Ovis aries: one gene and its partner. The protein of the gene in region 1 purifies or fractionates together with the protein of each later gene. This does not show direct contact. Links are inferred from orthologs where the notes say so. Each region holds a gene or a part of one and is shown in the gene's direction. Other genes may lie near its edges.

Region 1 (14,539 bases):
TTGCTTCCTGACCTGCATACGGATTTCTCAAGAGGCAGGTCAGGTAGTCTGGTATTCCCATCTCTTTCAGACTTTTCCACAGTTTGTTGTGCTCCACACAGTCAAAGGCTTTGGCATAGTCAATAAAGCAGAAGTAGATGTTTTTCTGGAACTCTCTTGCTTTTTCAATGATTCAGCGGATGTTAGCAATCTGATCTCCAGTTCCTCTACATTTTCTGAAACCAGCTTGAACATCTGGAAGTTCATGGTTCACATATTGTTGAAGCCTGGCTTGGAGAATTTTGAACATTACTAGGGTGTGAGATGAGTGCAATTGTGCAGTAGTTTGAGCATTCTTTGGAGAAGGAAAAGGCAACCCACTCCAGTATTCTGGCCTGCAGAATTCCATGGACTGTATAGTTGGGGTTGCAAAGAGTCGGAACGACTGAGAAACTTTAAACTCACTCACTTGAGCATTCTTTGGCATTACCTTTCTTTGGGATTGGAATGAAAACTGACCTTTTCCAGTCCTGTGGCCACTGCTGAGTTGTCCAAATTTGCTGGCATGTTGAGTGCAGCACTTTCACAGCATCATCTTTCAGGATTTGAAACAGCTCAACTGGAATTCCATCACCTCCACTAGCTTTGTTCGTAGTGAAGCCTCCTAAGGCCCACTTGACTTCACATTCCAGGATGTCTCGCTCTGGATCACACCATCATGATTATCTGGGTCATGAAGATCTTTTTTGTGTAGTAGTTCTGTGTATTCTTGCCACCTCTTCTTAATGTTTTCTGCTACTGTTAGGTCCATAGCATTTCTGTCCTTTATTGAGCCCATCTTTGCATGAAATGTTCCCTTGATATCTCTAATTTTCTTGAAGAAATCTCTAGTCTTTCCCATTCTATTGTTTTCCTCTATTTCTTTGCACTGGTCACTGAGGAAGGCTTTCTTTTTTCACCTTGCTGTTCTTTGGAACTCTACATGCAAATGGGTATATCTATCCTTTTCTCCTTTACTTTTGCTTCTCTTCTTTTCACAGATATTTTTAAGGCCTCCTCAGACAGCCATTTTGCTATTTTGCATTTCTTTTTCTTGGGGATGGTCTTGATCCCTCTCTCCTGTACAATGTCACGAACCTCTGTCCGTAGTTCATCAGGCACTCTATCTATCAGATCTAGTCCCTTAAATCTACTTCTCACTTCCACTGTAAAATCGTAAGGGATTTGATTTAGGTCATACCTGAATTGTCTAGTGGTTTTCCCCAGTTTCTTCATTTTAAGTCTGAATTTGGCAATAAGGAGTTGATGATCTGAGCCACAGTCAGCTCCTGGTCTTGTTAACATAGGAACCTGGAATGTTAGGTCCATGAATCATGCAAATTGGAAGTGGTCAAACGAGATGGCAAGAGTGAACGTTGACATTTTAGGAAGCAGCGAACTAAAATGCACTGGAATGGGTGAATTTAACTCAGATGACCATTAGATCTACTACTGTGGGCAAGAATCCTTTAGAAGAAATGGAGTAGCCATCATAGTCAACTGAAGATTCCAAAATGCAGTACTTGGATGCAATCTCAAAAATGACAGAATGCTCTGTTTCCAAGGAAAACCATTCAATATCACACTAATCCAAGTCTATGCCCTGACCAATAATGCTGAAGAAGCTGAAGTTGAACAGTTCTATGAAGACTTACAAGACCTTTTAGAACTAACACCCCCAAAAGATGTCCTTTTCATTATTGGGGTCTGGAATGCAAAAGTAGGAAGTCAAGAAACACCTGGAGTAACAGGCAAATTTGGCCTTGGAGTACAGAAAGAAGCAGGGCAAAGGCTAATAAAGTTTTGCCAAGAGAACACACTGGTCATAGCAAACACCCTCTTCCAACAACACAAGGGAAGACTCCACACATGGACATCACTAGATGGTCAACACTGAAATCAGAATGATTATATTCTTTGCAGCCAAAAATGGAGAATGATGATCCAGACATTTTAGAAATGTCTAGAGCCATTTTCTCTCCATCCAGGGATGGGCTCTAGGGCTGCTCTGAATATCATGCAGTGAACATGATATTCTGGATGGGCTGATGCAGGAGGGATCTGGGGGTCTGCCCAGCACTGAGGGTGGACAGGCATGTGTGCAGGGAAGCTGCTGACATGCTCTGGCAGAACTGGGCTAGGAAGGCAGGGCTGGGGCAAACATGAAGCAGGGAAACGTGGGCCCACACAGAGGGGCGCTGAGACCCGGGGGCCTGCCAGTGGGGTCAGGCCTGCACACCGGACCTGGGGGGCTGACCAGACGTCTGCGCTGAGACCTCTTCCCTGAAGCTCTCCAGGCCCGAAGAGTGCAGGATGAGGTGGCTCAGCTCCGGCCGGCCCAATGGCCGTGGCAAGGTGGGATAGGAAAAGGGATAGTTTGACCCATGGACTTCACAACTGTGTGAGGGGGCCCTTCCTAATTGACCCAGGGGTCCAGGAACCCTCAGGCTCTTTCCAAGTCCACCACTTCCCCATACCCCATCAAAGCCCACCAAGGTCACCCTGCAGTGAGGGAGGGGCAGGACTGCGCCTGAACTCAGCCCATGGCTCCTGCTTGGCCAGGTGCCCTGCCCCAGGTGGCAGGGGACGCTGGGACAGAGTCCCAAGGCCTGGGCTCCCAGCTCTCTTAGAGCTTCTCCTCCCCCACCCCAACCACACCCCACAGAGGGGTCTGTCCAATCAGGCATGCAAGGGGCCACCTAAACACTCCCTCTAGAAGGCAAGGCTGCCCTGAGACCTGCCTGGGCGGAAGCGACTGGCTCCCCGCGGTCTGCCCCTTTCCCCAGATTGCCAACTAGGCAGAGATAAGGCCTAGGGGTTCAAAGGCCAGAGTGAGAGCCCGCAGGGAGGGGCAGGGCTGGGAGCCACACTTCTCCCCACCCCCAAGCCCCTTCCCAGGTGGAGTGACCAGTGCCCAGGGCAGAAGCCTGGCTCCTGCTCCCTTCTGTTTATGTGGCACTTTGGCCATTTCCCGGGGATTTTCCCTGGAGGCCGGAGAGGGAGTATGACTCAGTACCTCATCTCAGTTCCCCCTGATTCTGTTGTGGAATCCGGAGTCAAAAACACACCTCGGAGGACACTCAAGACAGTGGAGTACAGTTTATTACGCCAGGGGGTCCAACGGGGATCTGTTCCCAACAAGGACCGTGATGTTTCTGAGAGGCCCCGTTTCATACCCCCCACTACGCGACTGGTTACATGTTAGCAACCTCTATGTTGCATATGATTGAGTTTCAAAACAAGTAGGTGCTAGGAGAACAAACAATTAAGACTAAAGGGGGGAACAATGATTATATATCAAGGGGGGATGTCTCCATGGTTAACCTAACAGGCAGCCTGGCCTCAACTACAATCTCCGTTTGTCACCTGTACGGAAGGAGTGAAGTGAAGTCGCTCAGTCCTGTCTTTGCAACCCCAGGGACTGTAGCCTACCAGGCTCCTCTCTCCATGGGATTCTCCAGGCAAGAGTACTGGAGTGGGTTGCCGTTTCCTTCTCCAGGGGATCTTCCTGACCCGGGGATCGAACCCGGGTCTCCCAGACGCTTTAACCTCTGAGCCACCAGGGAAGCCTCCAGGAAACCTGGTTTTCACTAGCAATGGTTTCCTCACTCTCCGGCAGGGCTCAGGCCCAGGTCACATCCTCTCTTTAAGATGGATGACAGGCTTCAGGATGCAGTCTCTCCTGCTTTCCGCACATGGGCCCCAGCAAGTCCACCCTGAGAATTTCAACACAGCTCAGGACCCACACCCCACCCCCAGGTAGGGCTCTGCGCGGTGTCTGAGCTGCCTTGAGGGGCAAGATGCTGCAGCGGTGGGGGGGTGGGGGTGGGGAGGGGGGCCGAGCTGCGCTGGAGCTCTCCGGTGGGGTGGGGGACAGCCCCAGTGGCCTCCTGGAACCTGTGCCCCAGACGCCCTCGGCTTGGAGGCAGCCCCTAGCGAGAGGGCCACAGGAAGCCAACCCGGACAGAAACCGAGGCCCCGTAAAAGCAAGTTCCTCTGCCAAGTCTATGCTTAACCTCTGTACACAAAATGTCATTCCTTTTTTGTCCAACACTTGTTCTCAAGATTGAGAAGTTAAAAAGGGGGCCGGGGCACGGAGATGGAAAATGAACTGCACCCTGTAGGGCCCTTCCCAGTAAAATCCTTTCCAGGTCCTCCATTTCTCCTTGTAGGAAACAGGCTTCCTTCAGTCCCCTAAGACCTCTCCTGAATTCCAAAGGTCAGGTTCAAATAGTTGCTAATCTGGGAAGGGCGGGACACAGAAACCAAGGAGGGGCAGTTGAGAAACTACAGCTTTGGGGCAGGGTCTCTTGAGCTTTTCTGCCAGGACTAAGGTCCCAGCCTAGCAAGGGAGCCCAGGGCACCACCGCTACCTCTCCACCAACCAATTATGAGAAAGCCCTCTTCCCAAATTCTGCCTATTGCAGACTCCCCCCAAAGCCATCCAGAGATTTAAGGGATTTTGAACATGAGTCACCTGTTCTTGCTCGGCACCACAATAAACCTTTCTCTGCTGCAAGCTTCAACGTCACCATGTGTCCTGCACACAGACTTGCATTCAGTAACAAGACCCTTGAAGAAGCAGAGGGGTGAGCCAAGCCCATCCACCCAGGGACCCCGGCCTCACCCTGGGGCAGCAGCACCGGGCTCAGGGAGGACTCCCACTGGAATGGTTAACCTGCGGCAACGCCTTGGCAGCCAATCACAGGGCCCCGCAGGAAATGCCTGGAGAGCCTCGCCGGGCGGGCCGTCCCGGCCCAGCCCCAGTCTAGCATCAGGCAGCCCCTGCGGCCCGCAGCCACACAGGCGAGCACGGCCTACCCTGAGCTCAAGGCACTGGGCTGCTGCAGCATGGCGCTCCTGGGCCGGCCCAGACTGGGGCCATTGCTGGTTGTGCTGGCCGCGCTGGCAGCGTCGGGGACGACGAACACCCCTGCTCGTCTGCTGACCCTGCTGTCCTCAGGCCAGGGCGCTCTGGACCGCGTGGCGCTGGGCGGCCTGTTAAATACACTGGCGGCCCGTGTGCACTGTGCCGACGGGCCGTGTGGAAAGGTAACACCCCCAACCGACGGGTCCTCCGGCCCGGCCCCAGCCCAAGCCCGCCGCTCCACCCCAAGGCCGAGGCCGGCTGCAAAGGGCCCGGGCAAACTCCAGAAGGCGGGCCGCGCGGTGCCTGATGCCGGGCCCTGCCCGCAGGCCCAAGCCCACTCTCCTCTGCTCCCTTTCAGAGCCCTCTGAGCTCCCCGGGTGGGGGGGTACAGCTCTGGGATCCTACGGCTGCCCTCCCACCCCTTCAGCACCCCCCTCTCCCCACCCCAAAATTTAAAATGGTTCCACGCAGAAACCTCCCTGGGATGGGGGACCCTCCGTGGGTGTGCCTGACTGTCACGGGGGAGGGCAGGGGTCTGTGAGCGAGCCAACGGTGGAGGGCACCAGCGTGAGGGACAGGAGGGTGGCAGCCCTCGTGTATGGCCCCCACCCGCCCGTCTGTGCCAACAGTGCCTGTCTGTGGACGACGTCCTGGCTCTGGGCAGGCCTGAGCAGCCCGAGGCCCCCTTGGGCCCGGCCCTGGAGCCTAGGCACATCGCCCGCCTCAGTGCCGCCGCCGCCCTTTACCTCAGCGACCCGGTGGGCACCTGCGCCGAGGTCCGGGCTGGCCGCTGGGCTGCCCGTGCCGACCAGCTCCTGGTCCTGCTCGAGAGCCCTCAGGCCCTGAGCCCGGCCCTGACTAGGCTGCTGCAGCGGATCCAAGCCCGCGCCGCTGGCCAGCCCGCTTCTCAGCAGGTGGGCACCTGGGCCAGCTACCCAGGGGCACTAGGGGAAGAGGGTCCGAGAGGGAGTGAGAGAAGGGGGACCACTTGGGTGGCGCTGGGCTCAGCACCTTTCTGAGTGCTCAGGGGAGCCTGGGTTGGGGGTCACAAGTGGACACTCACCGCTGAGCCGGGCAGGGCTGCAGGCATCCCGAGAGGGCCCTGATCCTCGACGGGGCTGAGAAAGCTCCCAGGGCTCCAAGGAAGAGCCCGGACAAGGCGGGGCCGGGAAGGGGACAGCTGCGGTGCCTGGAGTTCAGCGGAGTCCGGGGGCACCGGGGCACTGCGGAGAGAGAGGCCAGTGTGGCTGCGCTGCTTGAGACACTGAGGCCGGCTCCTCCCCAGGCCTGTGTGGACCTGCCTCAGCTGCTGGGGGAGGCGGCAGGGGTGGGGGCTCCCGGCAGCCCCGGCCCGGTGCTGGCTGCCCTGCTGGACCATGTCAGGAGCGGCGCCTGCTTCCACGCCCTGCCGACCCCCCAGTATTTCGTGGACTTCGTGTTCCGGCAGCACAGCAGCGAGAACCCCAACATCACCCTGGACGGTGAGGCCTGAGCTGGGCTACGGGGCAGGGAGTGCCCTGAACCCCAGCATCCGCCCCCCTGGGGAGTGCAGGGCTGGAACGGATTTTCACCCTCTGCCAGAGCTGGCGGCCTTGATGGAGCGCCTGGGGCTGGGCGGAGCGGCAGAGCCCCATGACGGCCACAGTGACGACAGTCCTCTGGGAAAGGGTCAGGGCCCCGTGCCCCTTACCACCACCAACAGCAGCGCCAGCGCGTGGGACACGGTGAGCCGTCCATGTGCCCGAGTCCCGGAAAGAGGTGGGGGCCCATGGACCGCTCAGGGCCCTGAACACCAGATCTGTCACCCCCACCCCAGCTGTGCCTGAGTGCTCAAGACATCATGGCTGTGTACGGAATGTCTGAGCAGGCTGGGGTGACGCCGGACGACTGGGCCCGACTGAGCCCGGCTCTGCTCCAGCAGCAACTGAGCGGGGCCTGCAGCCCCCAGCCCACACTCCCCACCCAGGATCAGCTCAGCCAGGCTGAGAGTGAGTCTCCACCCTACTCCCTAGAAGCGCCAGCCCGGCGGTGCCCAAGGGGCTGGCAGCAAGGAGATGGAACCAAACAGGGAGGACAAAGTAGCCGCTGGGCTGCAGAGAGCTGGGGCCAGGGCTGGCAGACCGGGCAGCAGGGTGGAGAGGCAACAGGGAAGGGGGTGCTGCGAGGGAAGAGGATGGGGGCTTGAGGCCAGGGGCCAGCAGGAAGCCGAGGCCAGGACTGCACCCGACTGCCTGCAACCTTGGGGGGCTCCTGCTCCTCCCAGACTCGGTCTGGACGCCCCTCCCGGGAAAGCAAGGGGCCACGGCTGGGAGGGAGGCGCTCACTGTCCTCCCTGCCCAGGGTACCTGTACGGCTCCCTGGCCACGCTGCTGATCTGCCTGTGCTCTGTCCTCGGGCTCCTGCTCCTCGTCTGTGCCAGCTGTAGGATCACCTCCCACTACGTCATCCAGGCCTTCCTGAGCATGGCTGTGGGCGCGCTCACCGGCGACGCCCTCCTGCACTTGATGCCTAAGGTTGCCCCAGCCTGCCACAGCCCTTCCTGACCCCTAACCTCTATCCGCCTGTCTGGGAGGAGGTCCCAAGGCACCGGGTCCAGTGTCCTTTGCCCACCCCCCCCACCAGGTGCTGGGGCTGCACACCCATGACGGGGAGGACCCTGGGCTCCAGACCACCTGGCACCTCCTAGCTGTGCTGGGCGGGCTCTATGCCTTCTTCCTGTTCGAGAGCCTCTTCAACCTCTTGCTGCCCCTGGACCCCGAGGTCAGGTGCTTGGGGGCTGGGCGTGGTGTGGGCAGGGGTGGCGGAGGCACAGTGGATCCTGAGCCTCCGTCCCCGCAGGACCCAAAGGATGGGGCCTGCAGCCATGGCCACAGCCACGGTGGCCACAGCCACGGTGTGTCCCTGCAGCTGGCGCCCAGCGACCGCCGGCAGCCCAAGCAGCTCCATGAGGGCTCTCGCGCAGACCTGGTGAGCCCGCCCTGCCTGGGGTCACCCGCCCTGGCGGAGCCCTGTCTGCGCTCCCAGTCACCCATCCAGGGCTTCCTCCCTGGCCTGATCTGGGGACTTGGCTCCGCGTGCTCCTCACCTTCCCACCCTGAGTCTAATCTACGCGGCCCGCCCACCAACCCGGTCTCCCCTCCAGGTGGCGGAGGAGGACCCCGAGCTGCTGAGCCCGGAGCCCCGGAGGCTGAGCCCAGGTGAGCCCTGAGGGAGGCCCCGGAGCGTTGGGGGTCAGGGTCTCGGTGCGCGGCCGCAGGCACGGGGACGGGGAGGGGGACGGAGGAACGGGCCGGGGCAAACGCGCACCCACGCCCGCCGCGCCCGCAGAGCTGAGACTGCTGCCCTGGGTGATCACGCTGGGCGACGCCGTGCACAACTTCGCCGACGGGTTGGCCGTGGGCGCCGCCTTTCTGTCCTCCTGGAAGACGGGACTGGCCACCTCGCTGGCCGTGTTCTGCCACGAGGTGCCGCACGAGCTGGGTGAGCCTTGAGGGGTTCCCGCCAGCCATGGGCGGGGTGCGGGGGGGGGGGGGGGGGTGGTCTGCCCGCAGCGGGGGGTCTGGGTGTGGCTGGTCGGCCGCGCTGTTGGGCGGGACTGTCGGGGAGTGGGCGCGGCCCTCGACCTGACCCCAGCCCCGCCCGCGACTCATGGCTCAGATAGTGAAGAATCCGCCTGCAGTGCACGAGACCCGGGTTCGATCCCTGGGTCGGGAAGATCCCCTGGAGAAGGGAATGGCAACCCACTCCAGTACTCTTGCTTGGAGAATCCCATGGACAGAGCGGCCTGGGGGGCTACGATCCATGGGGTCTCAAGAATCGGACACGACGGAGCGACTAAACCACCCCCACCTCCCTCCCCAGGGGACTTCGCGGCCCTGCTGCACGCGGGGCTGTCGGTGCGCCGCGCGCTGCTCCTGAACTTGGCCTCGGGGCTCACGGCCTTCATCGGCCTCTACGTTGCGCTCGCGGCCGGCGTAGGCGAAGACGGCGAGACCTGGATCCTGGCGGTGGCCGCCGGCCTCTTCCTCTACGTGGCGCTCTGCGACATGGTCAGAGCCGGGCGGGCGGGGGCTGCCCCGGGCGGGCGCTGGGCGGGCGCTCTGAGCCGGTCCTGACTCGGGCGCCGTCCTCAGCTCCCGGCCATGCTGAACGTCCGCGACCGGCGGCCCTGGCTCCTCTTCCTGCTCCACAACGTTGGCCTGCTGGGCGGCTGGACCGTCCTGCTGCTGCTGTCGCTGTATGAGGATAACATCGCCTTCTGAGAGCTTCTGCCCCCCCGCCCTCCTCCCCTTGGCTCTGGCTCCTGACCCTGGGCGCTCGCAGCCCTTCAGACGCACCGTCTCCGGGAGCGCCCAGCCCTTCCCCCACGCCCTGCTTCCTAGCTTCAATAAATGCTCTTGTCCTTGGAGCCCGGCCTGCTCGCCTCATCTCGCCTCCCCAGGAGAGGACGTTTCCCACCAAGAAACGTCGACAGGTGGGGCATCCTCTCCCCACAGCAGTGCCTGGTGCCTGATGGGGAGTCAGGACAGTTGAACTCAGGGCCCTCCAAGAAACCAGCCTCAGACCCGCGTCTGTGATGCATGCGAAGCGAAGCCCAGAGAAGTGGGTCCGGGGCTCGGGCAGCAGGTAGGACCTGGTGTCCAATCAGGACTGCAACCTCCCGCCCCGGCCCTCCTCCTGCGCTTCCTGCCGGCCTTCTGCGGCTCTTCCCAGGGCGGAGCTGCTTCAGTGCCTCTGGCTCTCTCCAGGCTGAGCCCCTTTGTCCCACAGACACACGGCACAGTAAGGACATGTACCACGTGCCAGGCTTGAGTCTGAGGGTTCTGTGGTCACTGAGCTGTTTAGCCGTCACAGTTGCCCTGTGATGTGAGTGCTGTGACTGCCCCTCTGACTCAGACAGGGAGGGCCCGTGGCCTGGCCACGGCCCCTGCTTTGCCCACTCCCTCCTCTGGCACATCCTCCGGGTGGCTCTGGCTGGTTGATGTGGGTTTTTTACGATTTTCCTTAGTTTTGGTGTGCTGGGTCTCCGCTGCTGCTCAGGCTTGCTCCAGTTGTGGGGCTCGTGGGTCACACCCCAGTTGCAGTGTGTGTGCTTCTCATTGCGGTGGATTCTCTGGTTGAGAAGTATGGGCTCTAGGACACTTGAGCTTCAGTATTTGCAGCACGTGGGCTCAGCCTTTGCGGCTCCCAGGCTCTAGAGCACAGGCTTAATAGTTGTGGCGCACGGGCTTAGTAGCTCTGCAGCATGTGGGATCTTCCTGGATCGGGGATCCAGCCCATGTCTCCTGCGTTGGCAGGCAGATTCTTTGCCACTGAGCCACCAGGGAAGCCCTGGCTCCAGTTCTTTTTGTTTTTTGAATTACTTTTTCTTCATGCTCTCAGAACTTTATTAGGTGGAGTTTGGGCAAAGGAGAGAGAAAACCTCTGAGACAGTCGCCCACCTGGTTGAGCACAAGCAGAACAGAGAAACCTTTGGTTGGAGATGTGCTCTCACCGGGGTAAAAATATCTCTGATTTTTAAATGGAGCGATGACTGGCTGAATATCTCTGGACACAAATTCAGATTATTTCAAATATTTAATAAATATTTTAACAAATATTTTAAAACTTTTCCACCAAGAAAAGGCAAGTCTCTTAGGACAAGACCGGACCAGAAGCAGGAGCCCCAGCTCCATATGGAGACAAACCAGCGCCACTTTTATGTTGGGTGAGAGGCAGGGGATATACCTCTGCTACTCCCAGATCAAGATTTGGAGGGAGGAGTGTTGTAGCCAAGCGTTCCAGGAAACAAACTCACTCAGAAGGACGATGCTGATAGTGGAGTGCAGTTTATTACACCGGCGGCCCACGGCAGAGTCTCCTCTTAGCCAAGGACCCCGACCAGCATTTGTGAAAATCTTTTATACCCCATGAGTACGTGTCTGAACCCACCACTCCAAATTCCTTGAGACTTACATAAACCAAGGAAAATACAATCCCAATAACCCCATCATTCACCTGCTATGTGCTCATGTGCTCAAATAGTCAAACAGTTAGCCACTAATCAATAAACCCGAGGTTACACTCCGATTGATACAGAAAAATTTATGGCCTGTCTGGAGGAAGGGGTGATTAGTGTATGTTTTCTCTTAGGCGATGAGTAACCTAGATACGATCTTCAAGGTTGCCCTGTCTGGAGGGGGTCGCATCCTTCTGTTGTTGTTTTCATAGGCACTAAACACGGAGTTCAGAGTCCATTGGAAAGGTGGCCAAGCGTGATCAGCATGAACAGGCCTAAGATGGAGTCCAGGCCCTATGAATTCCTTCTTCATTCCCCCCTCTTGATGCTCTCAACTCATATTATGAGCTTCATTCATAGGGATATATTGCACCCTGGCTCTCTGACCGCCAATTTGGGACAATGACATCAACCTTCGGGTTACAGAGTTCATAATACATTGTAAAATCCAGGGTCCACAAAGCAGAACTATCAAGGCAACTATAACAGTGGTAAATATAGTTTTCCACCAATCGCCCTTCACCCAAGATAGGACCGAAGTCCAAAAAGGAGTGTTTTCACTTGACGTTGCTTTTACCTGGTTTTTCACGTCATCTAAAGCAGTCAATGCATCGCCAGATAAGTCAGAAATGTGTGCACAACTTTCAACCTTAATTATAGCCCAGGTCCCTCCTTGAGCAGCTGTGAGTATGTCCAAAGCCATTCTATTATGAATTCCTGCTTTTCTCATTTGGATTTGCTCTTCATTTAAGGCTTGGATGGCTTTTGTTCTATCTAGGAGGGACTGTTGTGTGAAATTAGTCAAGGCCTCTACTTTAATCGTGATATCTGTTGTCCCTGTAGAGGGTACAAATAAGGCAGCAATATACTCATACCATACTCATACGGATCTTGTCCGCCTAGCATGTAAATAAGGTAGATTTACCGGGGCTCCCGGGGTAGATTTCCAACAAGTAGGTTTGGCTTTTGTTACACTGGCATTTATATCAAATGTAACTCCATGCCCCGAGTCTATTGACTGTAGGTCTTACACCAAGAGAGCAAGTAGAGGTTATGATTGGCAAGAGAGAGGAAAGTCTCTTTTTGTCATCCCAGAAAAGAGCAGAGTGCTTTAAAATCTCCTTGGCAGAGTGGTGACACCCACCAAGGAAGTCCATCTGTCACTGACAGAGGCACAGCCCTACATACCCAGCAGCTGGAAGTGCTGTGGAAGTCTGCGTAGGAAGGGGCGCATGAGATGAAAACATTGCCCTGAGTTGAAACGGAAGTTAAATTCAAAATCACGTTGATGAGGCCAAGCAGCAGGAGTTGATTGTCCGGCTTCATCCTGAAGGGGCTCGTCCAGGACCTTCTTTTCCTCCTGCTTAAGGATGGTCTTAGTCTCTCGAGGGTCAGCGGGGTCCCCCTGTGCAGTCCACTCAGCGTTTTTTGGGTCTGCGTGGTATGTTCTCTTCACCCTCCTATGATGGATCCAAGGGGCAATATCTGCCACTTTAACTGCAGTGGGGTAGTTTGAATAACATAAGGGCCCTTTCACCAAGGGGCTAGCAAATCAGGTTTCCAATCTTTGACCCGTACTTGGTCACCAAGCGTAAACTCACAAATGTATTCCCCAAGGGGGAACGGCACCCTTTCTTGTACAAACTTAGTTACCCGATTTATTATCTTACCCAGTTCCATCTGCTGTGAAACCCTATCCCCTCTTACCTGAGGCAAATTTGTTGACACCTGTTTTATTATGGGAGGGGGCCTCCCATACACAGTTTCCTATGGAGAATAGCCTTGGGACTGTGGGGTCACCCTGAGTCTGAGCAGAGCTGTTGGAAGTAAGTCCACCCAGGAGCATCAGTCTCTATGATCCTCTTGGAGAGTCTCTTTAATGTCCGGTTGGTTCACTCCACCGTCTCAGAACTCTGGGCCTATATGCAGTGTGCAGTTCCCATTTGATGTTTTAAGTTTTGCTTACTTGTACTAAATCAGCAACAAAAGCTGGGTCATTGTCTGAACCAATGCTGGTAGGAAGTCCACATCTGGGAACTATTTCCCTGAGCAGGCACCAGGCTACTTCTGATGCTCTTTCAGTCCAGGTAGGAAAAGCTTCTACCCGACCCGAGAACGTACATACCATGACCAGCAGGTAACAGCAGTGTCGGTGAGGTTTCATTTCAGTGAAGTCCACTCCCAGGTGTTCAAAGGGCAGCGTGCCTTTCAGCTGAATACCCGGAGGTTTTTGTCTGAATACCCGAGAGGCAGCATTAACCTGTGAGCAGGCAGCATGGCCTAGGTGGGTCGCTTGGTGTGTTTGGCTTACCAGATTGTGTGCCAGCTCCTCCGGTACCAATAATTTGCCACTTGGCAATTCCCACCATCCCTTTTCAGTCTTGATGGCCCTTCCGCTTTGGCTAACCTGACAGCCGTCATCCTTGTTTTATCAGGCTAATACCATCAGTATATAGGACCCAACTAGGGCCTGGAACCTTGTGTCCTTCTTTAAAACAAACCCCAGAGACCTTACCTCCTCCTTGCAGATCTGTGCCTTTTTCTTCGACACCCAGTAACCTGCTTCCATCAGCAGCTGGAGCAGTGCTTTTGTCCCTTCCCAGCATTTTCCCTTGGTCTCGGCAGCCAGCAGCAGGTCATCCCCATATTGTAGGAGCCAACATCCATACTCTTCCAGATGGAATGAGTCCAGGTCAGAAGCCAAGGCTTCCCCCAAAGATGGCTGGGGAGTTCTTAAACCCTTGGGGGGGAGTCCAGATGAGCTGTTGCTTGGTGCACCTGACTGGATCTTCCCATTCAAAGGCAAAGGTGGGCTGTGACGCTGGGGCGAGGCGTACGCAGAGGAAGCCATCCTTGATATCTAGGCACGTATAAACTTTAGTCCTCGGCAGGAGGAGGCTAAGTAAGGTGTAGGGGTTTGGAACAGTGGGGTGTAAAGTCACAGTAGCCTGGCTGACTAGCCTGAGATCCTGTACAGGCCTATAGTCCTGTCCTCCTTCCTTTTTGACTGGCAGGATCGGCGTATTCCAAGCCGACTGGCACTCTCCTAGAATGCCCGCTTGTTTAAATCTATTGATGTGGGGCAGTATGCCAGCCCAGGCCTCTATTGATAGCAGGTACTGGCGCTTTCTAACCAGGATGGTGCCTGGTTTGAGTTCTATTATCACTGGGGCTTGATGTTTAGCCAACCTGAGGGGAGAGGGGGTTGTCTATTGCCCAGACCTCAGGGAATAATTGAGTTAGCTCTCTCTCATGCTCTTCCGGCCCATCCGGTTCTTCCTTGGGCGGCTCATGCAACCTCCCCTCATCTTGGGGTGGTATTGAGAGAGAGAGCAAATAAGTCATAGTGTCCATCTGGAAGGTGGGCCTCTCCTTGGGGGAGAAAGTCACTTGTGCTCCTAGTTTGGAGAGCAAGTCTCTTCCCAACAAGGGTACTGGGCACTCAGGAATGTAGAGGAATTCATGAATCACTTGGTGCCCCCTCATCTGACATTTTCTGGGCTGGCAAAACGATTTAATCATCTCTTCTCCCGATATCTCAGTTACAGCAGTAGTCTTTTTGGACAGTGGTGCCACAGGTTTTGTTACTACTGACAGTTCTGCTCCTGTATCCACCATGAAGTCAATGATTTGGTCCCCCACTTCTAAGGTTA
Region 2 (14,747 bases), on another chromosome or scaffold:
AAGCTGGCCTTTCAGAGGTTTCAGATGATCAATAAAAGCCCTTCTGCCAACATAAGATTGCCAAACTTTTATAAAAGATAAACCACCCCCAAACCAAAAACGCAGGATGCCAAGTTAAATTAAGTTTCAGTTAAATAACAAATATATATGTGCACGGTATCATACCCATTCAGTATATAGGACACACTTATACTAAAAACCTACCTATTGTTTATCTACAGTTCATATATCTCTGACAACCTTACCCAGGTAACAAAAACTCTGTGAATCAGAATGCTTTGGGCTGCTTGTGACAGGAATCCAGCTCATACTGGCTAAGTCAAATGGGGAATTAATTGGCGGATGTAACTGAAAAGTCCAGGGATAGGACTGGCATAAGCTATGGCTGGGTCCAGAAGATCAAATGATATCATCAACGCTAGACTCTGCCTCTGTCTTTTTCAACATATTAGGCAGGTGTCTCCACGTGGGGGCCCCAAGCAGCTCTGCTGCTGCTAAGTCGCTTCAGTCGTGTCTGACTCTGTGTGACCTCATAGATGGCAGCCCACCAGGTTCCTCTCTCCCTGGGATTCTCGAGGCAAGAATACTGGAGTGGGTTGCCATTTCCTTCTCCAATGCCTGCATGCATGCTAAGGCGCTTCAGTAGTGTCCAACTCTGCAAGCAGCTCTAGGCTTATCTTTTCCTAGTATGGGTCGCCTTTGTGGAAAAAAGCCTTCTGTTTTCCAGTAGCTCCAGCAAATGTCCTATAACACAGTTTCATTGAATTGATTGGATCTTGTGCCCATCAATGAAGCAGTCACTATGACCCGTGGAATTGGACATTGTATTAATTCCTGGGGGCTGCCATAACAAAGTACCAAAACCGGTTGGCTTCAAACAACAGGAGTTTTATTCTGATATGGTCGTGAAGGTAAGGTCATGCTCTCTCCAAAGACTCTAGGGGAGAACCCATTGCTTACCTCTTCCAGCTTCTGGTGGCTCCAGGCACTCCTCGGCTTGTGGCCACATCGTTCCAGTTTCTGTCCTTCTCCAGCTTCTTTCTCTCTTCTGTCCAAACACCCTCGGCTTTTCCCTTATAAGGACGACTACTATTGTTACTAAGTCGCTTCAGTCGTGTCCGACTCTGTGTGACCCCATAGACGGCAGCCCACCAGGCTCCCCCGTCCCTGGGATTCTCCAGGCAAGAACACTGGAGTGGGTTGCCATTTCCTTCTCCAATGTGTGAAAGTGAAAAGTGAAAGTGAAGTCGCTCAGTTGTGTCTGACCCTCAGTGACCTGACCCCATGGACTACAGCCTACCAGGCTCCTCTGTCCATGGGATTTTCCAGGAAAGAGTACTGGAGTGGGGTGCCATTGCCTTATAAGGACACTTGTCCTGAAATGCCAGTTGGGCATTTCAGGCCCAAATGGAAAATTCAGAATGACCTCCTCCTTTCAAGATCTTTATTTAATCACATCTTTTGCCATATCAAGCAATATTCACAGATTATTGGGGTTAGGACACTGAAATACATCTTTGGATTTTCAGTTTACTACAGGCATTTAGGATTGAAAAGTCTGTGAGAACTAGGTACCTGAAGAAGGAAAAAATGGATGCTAAAATGCAAACACAGCAAGAGGCTTATAACAAGGACTTCCTATTCTATTCTATTCTGTATTTGGAGAGTGCTTCCAATGTCCTGGGCCCTGTGCTACTCATAGGAGCTTGCGGTCAGTCTGGAGTACTCATCTAGCACCCACTGTGTAAGTGCTGGGGAAGAGACCACGCTAACAGAGGAGAGTCCCTTCCATCAGGAACTTTACGGACAGGACAACTGTGGGGTGGGCAGAATGTGGTGGGTACTAGGAGAGTTTTTCTGACTGGGACTTTCGGGCTGAGTTGTAAGAAAGGGAAGGGGGACCTTCTAGGCAGAATTGCAAAGTCCATGGGGAGCTGGTCTATGGGGAGCGCAGGATAGCGGCCTGGCTTGGTTTGAGGAAATTTGGGCACATAGCCTAGAACGCTAAGATTTATATAAGCCAGGAAAAGCCATGGGCAGTTATTAAAGGGAGGAGTGATGTGACCAGACTGGTAGTTGGGAAAAATTACAATATTGTATAGAATGGCTTGTTGCATCTAAGGTAGAACCCCTGGGTCTACCTTTCTATCTTACATTTCTATCCTACCCTCCCATCTGCAATGACTCCCCTACCTGAACTAATCCCATTGTTCTGCTTCACTCTTTTCTGAGTCTTGTCGTCATGCTGGACAATGGTGTTTCTCCACCCTTCCAGGCCTGTGCCAGTCTCCTGCAGCACCCAGCCTCTGCAGCACAAGTACCAAGCAACTGCAGCTTCCCTGGGCACCCGGAGCAGTTTTGTAAGAGAGCACCTCCAGTGAGAAACCAACCCATGAACAGCTTTCCTGGGCAGCTTAGAAGGTGATTTCTAGAAGGTTCTGGAGGGCAGATTTTCAGCAAATTCTACTGACAACACAGCAATTTTTCTGCCACTTAGGGAGCCATAGCCCTCTCCACAGAGGTCTCAGTCTTATTCATGTGGTTGGTGGAGAGACAGGCAGATCTGAGAGCAGGAGATAACAGCTGCTTAGAATACCTTCCATTCCTATATTCTTTTTTAAAAGGTTTATTTATTTAGTTAGATTTTTATTTCTTTGCTGTGGTGAGTCTTTGTTGCTGCACATGGGCTTTCTCTAGTTGTGGCTGCCAGGGCTATTCTTTGATGTCAGGTGTGGACTTCTCGTTGGCATGGCTTCTCATTGCACAGAGCAAGGTTCTAGGCGAGCAAGCTTCAGTAGTTGCGGCGCGTGGGCCTAGTTGCTCTGCTGCATGCGGAATCATCCCGGACCAGGGATTGAACCAGTGTCCTCTGCACTGCAAGGTGGTCTCTTAACCATTGACCACCAGGGAAGACCCATTCCTACATTATTTATAGTTTTCTTTGCTTTTTACCTGCCAGACCCTTGTGATGCTATGTTAAAGAATCTTTATGTTTAAATTTACCCTGTTTAAATTACTGTGTACTTTTTCTCTCTCTAGATAAGATCCAAGTGGATACATCATCCTTCTACACCTTCCATGTCTAATGTTGTAGCCACTAGCCACATGTAGCTATTGAGCATTTGAAATGTGGCTGGTGCCGAGGAGAAACTGACTTCTTTATGTTTCCTTTTATACTGAAATTAAAAAAAAAAAAAAGTGGACTTCCCTGATGGACTGGTGGTTAAGAATCCATCTGCTGACGCAGGGGACATGGGATGATCCTTGCTCTGGGAAGATCCTGCATGCCACGGACACAGAACCCATGCACTAGAGCTGGCCCTCTACAACAAGAGAAGCCACCACAATGAGAAAATGGCAGGCAGCAACGAAGACCCAGAGCAGTCAAAAATAAATAAATAAAAATTTAAAAACTGAAGTGGTGTATTCATTTTCTGTTAAACGTTTTATTGGGTGTAAAATGTCCCGTTCAGTTCAGTTCAGTCTCTGCGACCCCAAAGATACAGCTACTAGAAAATTTTAAATTATATATGTGGTTTGAAATCTATTTCTGTTGGACAGCCTGTCCTACACCAATTTTCTGTTTAGTCTTTCCCGATTTTCCTAGACCGACATGAATTCTGCTTGCTCCACAGCTCTTTGAATTTCTCTTAGGATATTTGTGGGGGACATTTGCTGATTGTTTGCCAGAATCCTCTTTTTTAGGCATTACCTCAATTTCCTTTTGTGGAATTAGTGGCCACGTCCAGCTACAGAAACCAGAGTTGTCCCAGTTAGCCTGGTAAATGGACATAGAACCAAATCCCTCTAACTGGAAGCTCCCTCTGGACACTTTGTGTCTTGAGCAATGTTGCAAACAAGTGGGGTGAGTTGGAGGGCGTATTTCCTACAGATGCTGCAGTGTGGCATATATACCAAACTCACTCTATCTGCTGTGTTACTTTTTCAGTGATTTCTGCTGCTTAGCCCTCTCCAGCATTCAGGGTTTCCAAACTGATTGAAAATCAATTTTTATGATTTCACTGATTCTCACTGTTGATGCCCTGAGACCCTGACCTTTGTCCAATCAACTCCTTTTCCTGAAGATTTACAAAGGCTCTTTCTATTGTTTGTGACCAAGAACTCTGAAAATGATTCTACACTGTTGTTCTGTTATGTACTACATTTCTTTCTAGCAAGTTCTAGGTATGGGGAAAGCCTCAGAATTGCAGGATAAACTGAAAAGTCAGCTTTTGAGGAGCATAGGAACCAGCCCCACAGATCTGCATGCCAAAAATGATGGGTACCATCACTGACATACGTGCACACGGATCCTTTTTCGTCTTTGGGTCATTGCTTTATCCCAGGAATAGAGTGCAATGAATCAGCTGAGGATAGGGGTCTGTAGCAGACAGAATAAAGGCCTCTCAAGATGTTCACGTCTTAATCCCTGAAACCTGTAAATGTTACCTTAAATGGCAGAAGAGAATTTGCAGATGTGATTAAATTAAGAGTCTGAGCCACAGACATTATCTTGGATTATTTGGGTGGGACCCATGCAATCACAAGCGTTCTTAGAAGCAAAGAAAGCTTCCCAGCTGGATCTGAGAGATGTGCTATGGAAGCAGGATTAGAAAGATGTTACCGATTTTGAAGATTGCTTGCTTGTAAAATGAAAGAAGGGGTTTACGTACTGGGAATGCAAGCAATCTCTAAAAGCCGGAAAAAGCAATGCAGTTGATTTTCCTAAAAGTCTCTAGAAAGGAACACAGCCCCTCCAACATCTTGGTTTTAGCTCAGTGAGATTTTTAACCAACAGAACTTTGTCATCTTAACTCTATTGTTGTTGTTAACAACTTAGTTGTTCCGGAAATAGTGTCTAACTCTTTTCAACCCCATGGACTGTAGCCTGTCAGCCTCCTTTGTCCCAGGGATTTCCCAGACAAGAATACTGGAGTGGGTTGTCATTTCCTTTTCCAGGAGATCTTCCTGACCCAGGTGTCAAACTTGCATCTCCTGCATTAGCAGGCAGATTCTTTACCTCTGAGCCACCAGGGAAGCCCTCTAGGTTTGTGATAATTTGCTAGGGTAGCAAATAGAAAACTGATACAATGGTCTATTCCTTGAGCTAGAGAGGACATCACTTTGACAGTCCAACTAAGGCTGTATCCCTTGGAGAGTAGGAGGTAGGTTCCTGTATGAACATAGCGTGCTGTTAGCTAGCGGAAAGAAAACTAAACAGACAACACACAGGTGCACTACAACCAACCACAACAGCCCCTTGCACATTATTTAATCATTGAAAGTGAAAGTGTTAGTTGCTTACTTGTGTCTGACTCTTGGTGACCTCAAGGTCTGTCCATGGGATTCTACAGGCAAGAATACTGGAGTGGGTTGCCATTCCCTTCTCCAGGGGATCTTCCTGACTTGGAGATCAAACCCCGGTCTCCTGTATTGCAGGCAGATTCTTTACCATCTGAGCTACCAGGGAAGCCCTTATTTAATCAAATCAATCTATCCACTTGAATTTTTAGGGCGAGCAACTGATTAGGTTAAACATTCTGGATGAGAAGCCTTGAGGAAATAGAGCACTTTATAAGCAATGTAAATCCAAATTCACATATACAACACTGCATATATAAATACTGCATTTTAAAAGAACTTTAAGAACTACTCTAATTCCAAATTTTGCCATAAAGATCCCCATGAAACTTGGAAAGGATGATTCCCTCTCAGTAAAGATGTAGTTAATTTAGCCAGCTTCCCTAGTACCTAGACATATGGACCTCTTCTATAAAGTGTTTAAGAATCACTGGCTTAGTCACTGACTAATTAGCCATTGATAAATCACAGACACTAATGGGAACATACTTAGAGGCAAATGAGATGGAAGTTATGGTTCACAGTCTAAGAAGGCAAAGTGTTACTAGGAGAGCCAAAATGAGTAACAAGGGAAGACACTGCGCCTGTTCTAAAACCCTGACTATGGTCACTGAAGGTTGGTAGGGGATCAGAGGCAGGAGTTGCAAGTCAAGACCAAGGACAAGCCAGAGCTGATGGTCAACACATACACACAGGTTTTGAACACTTAGTTTGACCAGGTGGCAGTCTAACAACGGGCAATGGAAACATCATTTTGGAATATACTAGAATATCACTCTAAAGGGGCTATTATTGTCAGCTCACGACTCAGGCTTTGACTCATAAAACCTCTCCTAACTGCCCTTAAGGAGATTCACGCTCAGGTGGTAGTAGGAAACCTTAAATTTTTGAAGGCGTCTGTTCTGGTTGAAACCAGTTTTGACTGTGAGAGTTCCTTCAGGAGTTTGTGTGTGTCCCCATTTGTCTTCTGGAGTTGGGGTTTGGGAGGGATGAGCCAGGGGGTTCTTTTCTCAGATACTAGAGCTAGGTAGGTTCAAAAAGAGATGATTCTAGGAAAATTGTTCTCAATTCTGGCCACGTGTTCAATCTTTAAAACAAAAATACTAACGTTGAGACTCAGAACTCTAGAGGTGGGACCCTGGTATCTAAATACTTTAAAATCTCCCAGCTAATTTGAACGTCTGGCTCATGCTACCAGGGTTAAGAATCATTGCTTTATAATTTCCTAGTACAGGCCAACTTAAAATATATTCACAACCTAAAAGTTGAGAGTTATGTTTTATTTGGTGGGAATTCAGGGAGTTCAAGTCCGGGAGACAGTGACTCTGAGACAACTGCTGTGAGAAGGTGAGAGGAAGAGCCAGGTTCTATAGAAGTTCTGCAACAAAGGGCAGCTAGTTGGAACATCAGATTATTGTTAATTAAAGAAAGCAGATATCCCAAGTTAAGAAAGTTTGTGCTTTTCTGTGAATGAGACAATGCAAGAGTCTCAGCTCACTGAAATAATTTCTTCTATATACATCTCAGCTATGGGATCTGTGTTTTCACATCCCAAGTTCCCCTGGGCTCACTGTAGGGAGCAAGCGAAGTCTGCTGGTATTCTCCCTGTGTTCCCTTAGAATACAGGCTCACGTTGTCAGGCTGCAACCACTGATGGCGATGACAGTCTTATTTCCTGATATGGCAGGAAATATTCCATTTCTCATATGGTTATTCTACGCGTCACTAGTTTTTCGGCATCTTCTCAGGTAGGTGTGGCTCAACAGTGCTTCTCAAACTTCCGTGTGCCAGAAGGTCACCTGGGTGCTGTTTAAAATTCAGATTTCCAGGCTCCATACTGAGAAAGTCCTAGAGGATCTCGTTTGGGCAGCGCCCAAGAGCCTTCGGATTTTCTCTGCTGCCCACAGTTGGAGTGTCCCAAAAAATGAGCGCTGAGAGATAATAGCTGTAGGGAGATCAAGCCCACCTGGGAAGGGCTGGTGGAAGAAAAAGGACAAATTTGTGAGTAAATATTCCCTAAATACCTGTTTTTCCTTGGCCCCTCTATCCTGGGCAGTTTCGGCCGGGACTACGTGAGCAAGACTAGGAGTGTGACGATGGGTGTGGTCGGCTCTGGGTTCCGGAAAATTCCTCCGGGCCGGAGGTGGGGGACGTTGCGGGGGGTAGGGGGGCAGGGCGGTCTCCCGGGGCCCTTCTCTCCGCCGCCGCTTCTCACCTCCTTTAAAAGCATCGAGACCGCTCTGCGGGTCTGTCGGAGCCCAGTCCCGAAGGCGCGCCGGGAGCCGCCGGCGAGGAGCTGGGGAGGAGGTTGAGAGGGGGCGCGACCAGGCTTTTCCAGCTCCCGCCGCTCCGCGGCCGCGGGCCAGGGCGCGCGCACTGCGGGGCCGAGAGTCCGGGCGCGGTCCCGGCCTCGCCTCCTCGCGCTCCCGAGGCCGCCTCCTCCGCGCGCCGCGGGCGCTGGCCAGAGGCGGGGACTCGCCGCTGCGGAGGCCGCGAACGCGGCGGCGCTGGACGCTGCCCCGGGCGGACGGGAGCACGAGGCCGGCGGCGGCGGGAGAGCTGCCCGGGCGAGCGGGGAGCCGGGCCCCGGCAGCGCCGAGCGACCGCCGGAGCCGCGGCAGGAGGTGAGCAGGCGGCGCGCGTGCCTGGCGGCTCTCCCCCCGGTCGCCCCGGCCCCCTTCTCTCTCCTTGTCCCTCCACGGCCCCGGGCCCGCGCCCAAGGACCCCGCGCCGGGCCCCGGAAACACCCGCCCTCCCCCGGCTGGCGCCCGGCCCGCAGCCTTTTACCGGAGCGGGCACGAGGCCGGCCCCACACCTCCCCGCGCTGGAGCCTCCTTCCCGGGGCCGCCCCGACCCGCCGGGTTCCGCCTCCCAGGCTCCGCTCCGTTGCTGGGCTCCCCGGAGGAGGCCGGTCTGGGGCGATGCAGGGCCTTTCTTTTTGTTCTTAGCTGTGTCACGCGCGTCGGCACCCAGAGTCAAAAGCGAGCATCCCCGAAGTGGCGCTAGTGGCAGCGGTGCGGGCGTGATTGGCACGCGGGGAGGGCTGGCTGGCCGCGCCGCTCGTCTCTTTCCCCCTCCGCCCCGAGCCGCCGCCGCGGTGCCCACGTTGGCAGCAGTGTCGTCCTGGCAGGTGAGCTTGACACCGGGTCTTCGGTCCGCGAGCTGCCAGAGCTCTTCCTAATCCCGTCTCAGGGATGCTCCGGGTTCCTTCTGTACCTGTATTTCCCACCTTTGGCGGCGTGGAGGATCCACAAAACTTCTGTTCTCCTGTAAAAATATTCTCCTGGGTTTACATCCTCTTTATATGTCACATCTTACTTAATATTTTAATGACTGTCTTTCGGTAAAACAAAATAGGCAAAATACCTGTTTCGATGAGCGTTCGTTTTAGCGGAATTTTAGAATCATTGCATTCGGCAAGTCGTGGTGATGCTTGAGATATCCCATTCCCGAATCTGCAAAACCAAACTTGTGTGACTTTCACGGCTTTGAGTTTCCTGGTTTGTGGTCTCCAAGGTCCAATTGCCCTAAATAATGCAAATATTGAGGGGCATTCCTAGGGGCAGAGTAAAATAGTCCAGTAGCCTGATTACATATTTAACAGGTTTAGAGTGACTCTGTTTGGCTCCTGGCCCCGAGATTGACTCAAATTTGGGCAGTTTTAGTATTTCTGAATTTTTTTTGTAGCATGGGGCCTGAGAAGTTGAATCCCTTGTTGGTACTTGTGGGTCTCCTAGAGCATCCATCCATAGCTCCTCCTCCCTATGTTAGAGAAGATTAAGCTAAGGGCAGGCTACTGTGAAGAATAAGTTTATTTGTAACTAGAAACGAATAGCTTGCTAAGACTTGCGATTTTTAGGTCAGAACTCAATTTCTAAGGAGTCAGTGGTGAAAAGACATTGAATTCTTAGGATGTTTAAAGAAAACAACCCTTCAAGACATATTTTCTTCTCCTGTGAAGATGTCACCTTTTCTCCCCATTGGTTTTGCTCGAAAGTGAAAGACCAAGAATGAGAGGCAGGAATGCTGGGGGTGAGGAGTGGAGGTCAGCATTTGGGAATATTGCTGTTAGAAGATAAGGGTGCCATTTGTTTTCTAATTGCTGGTCCAGTTATTGATGGGGGAATGAAAAGATTTTGCATGTATATTGTTTTTTTCAGGGGTGGGGCTGAAACAGCAATGAGAATGGTTGACCCAGGGCCAGCTTCAGTCCATTTATGTGGCTACCTTCCTCCAGCCAGGAGGGAACTGCTGATCCTGTGAACGTTGCAGGCCAGCTTTCTGCATCCGAAGCACAAAGGATAGCCAGGCAGAGCCTGGGGAAACTGCATGTGTGGGAAGAGTTGGAAGGTGGGGTGTCTCTTTCAACTCACCATTCTGGGCAGCGAGTAGGATCCCATCACTGGCAGTGTAGTGGAAGGGAACATGAGGTGGTGGGGCCCTGCTTTTAAACAGTCCCGGAGGGGCTGTGAGGGGAGGCGGGGACTGGAGAAGAGGCCCTGTGCCTGAGGCTTTGAAAGTGAAAGTGAAGTCGCTCTGTCTTGTCCAACTCTTTGTGACTCCATGGACTGTAGCCCACCAGGCTCCTCCGTCCATGGGATTTTCCAGGCAAGAGTGCTGGAGTGGATTGCCATTTCCTTCTCCAGGGGATCTTCCCGACCCAGGAATCGAACCCGGGTCTCCTGCATTGCAGGCAGATTCTTTACCATCTGAGCCACAGGGAAAAAAATAAGTTGTCTTAGAAAAGATTGATTTCTTTTTTAGTGACTTGAAATGGGAAATTGGGATAAGAAAAAAATCATTTTTCTTTTTGTTTAAAAGAAAAACTTGGTTAGCATTATTTTCTAAAACTTCACAAAAGTAGAAGGAATAGTCTTGATATGCCCTTGTGCTTAGTCGCTCGGTCTGACTCTTTGTAGCCCACCAGGCTCCTCTGTCCACTCCAAGAATACTGCAGAGGGTTGTTGTGTTCTCCTCCAGGGGATCTCCTGACGGGTAGATTCTTTGCCTGCTGCACCATGGGGGCTTTCACCTTAACAAACTGTGAGTGGCATTCCACTTGCTCCCCTAGGATGGTCTTAGAGTGTGGCTGCTTTCTAGACTTTTTCAAGTTACTGATGAAATTACATTGAAAGAGAGTCTTGGCTTGAAGTTTAAGGATTATTTCCAAAATTCCCAGAGAGCTTTTCTTTGCTTCACAAAGAAATTGTCCCCCACTTTCAGGAAAGAAAATGCACGCCCTCTCAGATTTTTACATTGTAATCTTATTCTCTTTCAAGACTGCATTAATAAAACTTCCTCTCACTAAGATTTTGATGATGAACTAGTGCCTGACAGGAAGAACACATATGTAAAAATACTGTATAATGAGATAGTTTGCTGTGGTTTCCAAGCTTTTTTGCTCATTCTTGTTAGTAAAAAAAGAAATAAAATAAAATAAACATCTAAAACCAGTACAGCATAATGTCAGTTGTATCTCAGTTAAGACCAGTTTTTAGTACTCCTCTGTATGTGTGTTTGTTACTTAATTATAAATTAATTAATAATTATAAATTATATAATTATATTATAAATTAATAAATGAGCTGATGTTGTAGCTCAAGATCCAGTATACACTTAGGGCTGGATTCATTGTGGAGGTAAAACCCTCTTTCAAATACTCCTTTAATTTTGAGGGTGTTTTTTGGTTTGGATCTTGTTAGATCTGAGTATATCATCGTTGTTGTGATGTCGCTCAGATGAAGCTGACTCAGGGTGGGAAGTGCATTCTTAACCCCCTGCGCTTGCATTTATTACTATCTGTGCTTTTTATGGGGACCTTAAAGCTTCATATCCTCTGTGAGGGTTAGTTTCATTTTAATTTGTGCATCTATCTCATTGTGTGCTTGCCCAGTCAAAGGATACCTCAGAGGGCTGGTGACAGGTGACCCTTGACAAAGGGACTTTGTGAGGGTGCAGTCAGTTCCTGCTTTTATTAGCACTGTTAGTATTTCATGGTAATATAATTAGTATAGTGTAACACAGTGTAAAGTAATTAGTGTACACATAATATATTTAACTTGTTGGTATAATATTTACATTACTAAACATAGTTGCTATTCTACTTTTTGGACAAAAATAAATGTAACTTCTAGGATTTTTCCCCCAGCCCAGGTGGAGCGTCTTTTATACCTTCTGGGCTGCATAAGCCCTGCTGGTAGACAGCTGTTTCTCTCACTTTAGTCTCAGGTAATTCTTTCATCTGATTCTCAGAAGAACCCTGTGAATGCAGGTATAATGGATCACACTCCCCATTTTTTTTTTTTTTTTTTTAATGAGTAAACTGAGACTTTAAAGGGTTAATACCACAGTAGTTCTTTTCAGTTAGTATTTGCTTGGTGACAAGTAAGTGCTCTCATTTAATTTCCACACTGGCTTTGGAAGACAGGGATAAGCCTTTACAGGGGAGCCCAGGAGGCTGGGAGGAGATGAGGAACCACCGCGTCGCCAGCTCAGAAATGGGCTGCCGTGTGTTTCCTCTCAGTTTTCTGCCCAGGCTCAAGACAGGAACCTGGGTTTTCTTAGTGCCCCCAGTGGTGGGGGCCAGCACAGAAGAGAGCTGGGAATGTATTTGAATGAGTTCAGTTTGTTTTTCTGCTTCAGAATGCATACATATGGTATCATTGTTTTGTTTTAGAGGAAGCTGTAAAATACTGTGATTTCATCTGGGAATGCTAGAAATATAACTTCAAAACTTGCTAATGTTACCATTGTATATCTTCCTAGCATCTTAATTTTTTATTGTTACTGTTTGGCTTTTGCATTAAAGATAGGCTCCTTGAGGGAAAAAAAGATGATATAAAGCAAAAAATGAAGTCTTTCTGTTCCTCTCTACCTCCTCCTCTCTTGCTCCAACTTGTAAATATCTTTCCTTATAAGCACTTGCTGTACATTTTCTATTATAGAGAAATGTAAAATGGCAACCCACTCCGGTACTCTTACCTAGAAAATTCCATGGATGGAGGAGCCTGGTGGGCTACAGTCCATGGGGTCACAAAGAGTCAGACACGACTGAGCAACTTCATGACGATTGATTTATTGAGTATATTTTTAAAAATTTTCAACAAAAATGGGATATGAACATTACTATTTTACAACTTTTTTCATGTAACAGTTTATGTTTTGATCATCTGTTGCTCCATAACAGATCAGTTGCAAGCTTAAAACCATTGTTTAGTTATTGCTTCTGGTTCTGTGAGTTGACTGGACTGCAGTCTTCTGAGGCTCAGCTGGGCTGGAATTTCAAGATGGCTCATTTGCTATTACTAGTTTTTAAAAGAATTGCCTTGGTGAATTCTTGGACAAAATTTTAATATACTAATGATTTTAGAAAAAAATTTTTTTCTAAGCTATTTCTCTGATTCCAGTGCTGCCAGAACTGGAGGGTCTACCCCATCAAAATGCTCTCCATCATTTATATCTATGCAGCAGGTAGATGATACCTTATCTTTCCTCTCTGTTTTCTATATCAGTGAGGGAGGGTCCTGTAGAAGCCATGTTGCTCTGGAAATAGTGATCACTTCATTCTGACTGGGGCTTCCTTGGTGGCTCAGACAGTAAAAAATCTGCCTGCAATGTAGGAGATCCAAGTTCTATTCCTGGGTTGGGAAGATCTCCCCTGGAGGAGGAAATGGCAACCCACTCCAGTATTCTTGCCTGGAGAATCCTGTGGACAGAAGGGCCTGGTGGACTGTAGCCAAAAGCCAAGGAAGTTTGGGGAATCCAAACTCAACCTTTAAACAGTACGGAAATGTTTAAACAGTATAGAAATGTTTCCCCAAAGATAAATAACGCACCCTCTCCAACATGCCTTTCTGCTTCTTAAAAATAATTGAGTGTGACCAGATCAAGAGGCACTTGTGAGACCTGTCCAGTGAGCTCTGGAGAGCACAGTTCTCAATCTTGACCTGTATCAGCATCACCTGGAGAACTTGATAATCACGTGATGCTGATGCTGCTGGTCCAGGGACCATACTTTAAGAACTGTTGAACTACAGCAAGTGTTGGCAAATGTTTTCTGTGAAGAGTCAGGTGGTATTTTAGGTTCTGCAAGCCCAGTGGGTTGTGTCACAGCTACACAATTCTCATAGCCTGACAGTCATGACAATATGTAAATGAATGGTCATGGCTGTGTCCCAACAGACCTTTATTTATGTCAGTGAAATTTTAATTCCATGTACTTCTAGTGTCATGAAATTTTATTCTTTTTTTTTTTTTTCAATTAAAAAGCTTGAAACCTGAGCTTTTAGACAGTGTACAAAGACAGGTGGCTGGCAGGATTCTGCCCTGAAGCTGCAGCTTGCTGACTCCCAAACAAGAGGAGGAATTTGGGAACACTTGCTATCGTGTAGCTGTGGCGTCCACAGGGGAGTTGGCCCTTCTGCAGAAAGTCAAGTGCTGGAAGAAACACAATGGAATTGTTTCTCATTCATTTCCACTCATCCGTCTCACTCTTTGGTATTTTTACTCCATAGCACTAAATATACACATGAATTTTGACATTTTTTCTTTTTAAAACATTTTATTGAGCATAATTGACATCACATATTAGTTTCAGGTATACAGCGTAAAGATCATTATTTGTATACTTTGCAAAATGCTCGCCACAATAAATCTATTATAAATCTAATAATTTGCACATAGTTACAATTTTTTTTTCTTGTGATGAATTTTTAAGATCTGCTCTCTTACAACTTTATGATATGTGATATGGTATTATTGTAGTTACCATGCTGTTAAAGGTTTTTCTTTCTAAACTGTTAGGTTCTAGAATTGGGGGAAAATTGAGGGTTGGGAAAGTGGGAGTAGGAGAATTGTATACTTCCTAGTAAGTTTTTAAAAGAATTTAAGAATTTAAAAGGAGAATTCAGTGGACTTGTCATTTAACCCTAATAGTTTAAACAGGAGTTTACAGACTTCCCCAGAGGGGCCAGATAATAATACATCTAACTGCTTCAGTCTTCATTCTAACCCTTTGAGTAAATCCTCGTGTTGATTGTTCAACTCTGCCTGGTAGGCAGAAAGCAGCTGTGGGCAGTACTTCAAGGGCTGGGCGTGGCTGTGTTCACCAAAACCTTATTTACACAATGGGCTGCTAATGGCTCTAGGCCTCAGTATGCTCACTCCTGCCTTGGAGACATTCTTGGGGTGGGGTGGAGTATCTTTGAACCCTCCAAAAAAATGTTGGTGACCAATTCCTGAGACCTCAGCGCTAAGTGGGACATCCTGCGATCTGTTTGCTCACTGAGGTGGCTTCCGAACTCCATTCAGGTCACTTCCGGCTCCGTTGAGGGCACTTCCGGCTCAGGCCCTCCGCCCACCTGGTAAGGCCATTTCTTCTGAGAAGG

The links.
Region 2: the proteins of SLC39A4 (region 1) and GOLM1 purify together in Homo sapiens (affinity purification with mass spectrometry; 3 studies listed by BioGRID and IntAct, counting the BioPlex papers as one, with this or other methods). This does not show direct contact. The link is inferred for Ovis aries from reciprocal best matches to the Homo sapiens genes SLC39A4 and GOLM1.

The regions. Positions count from the first base shown.
Region 1 is NC_056062.1:13,478,706-13,493,244, forward strand, and holds SLC39A4 (zinc transporter ZIP4), read left to right. Parts: upstream 1-4,783; 5' UTR 4,784-4,869; coding exon 4,870-5,070; intron 5,071-5,517; coding exon 5,518-5,802; intron 5,803-6,173; coding exon 6,174-6,369; intron 6,370-6,469; coding exon 6,470-6,612; intron 6,613-6,704; coding exon 6,705-6,876; intron 6,877-7,228; coding exon 7,229-7,401; intron 7,402-7,510; coding exon 7,511-7,648; intron 7,649-7,726; coding exon 7,727-7,855; intron 7,856-8,030; coding exon 8,031-8,085; intron 8,086-8,215; coding exon 8,216-8,368; intron 8,369-8,749; coding exon 8,750-8,937; intron 8,938-9,021; coding exon 9,022-9,150; 3' UTR 9,151-9,296; downstream 9,297-14,539. UniProt on the Homo sapiens protein: Selective transporter that mediates the uptake of Zn(2+). Plays an essential role for dietary zinc uptake from small intestine. The Zn(2+) uniporter activity is regulated by zinc availability.
Region 2 is NC_056055.1:33,712,849-33,727,595, forward strand, and holds the start of GOLM1 (Golgi membrane protein 1), read left to right. Parts: upstream 1-7,200; 5' UTR 7,201-7,362; intron 7,363-7,824; exon of another isoform or gene 7,825-7,985; intron 7,986-8,309; exon of another isoform or gene 8,310-8,491; intron 8,492-14,747.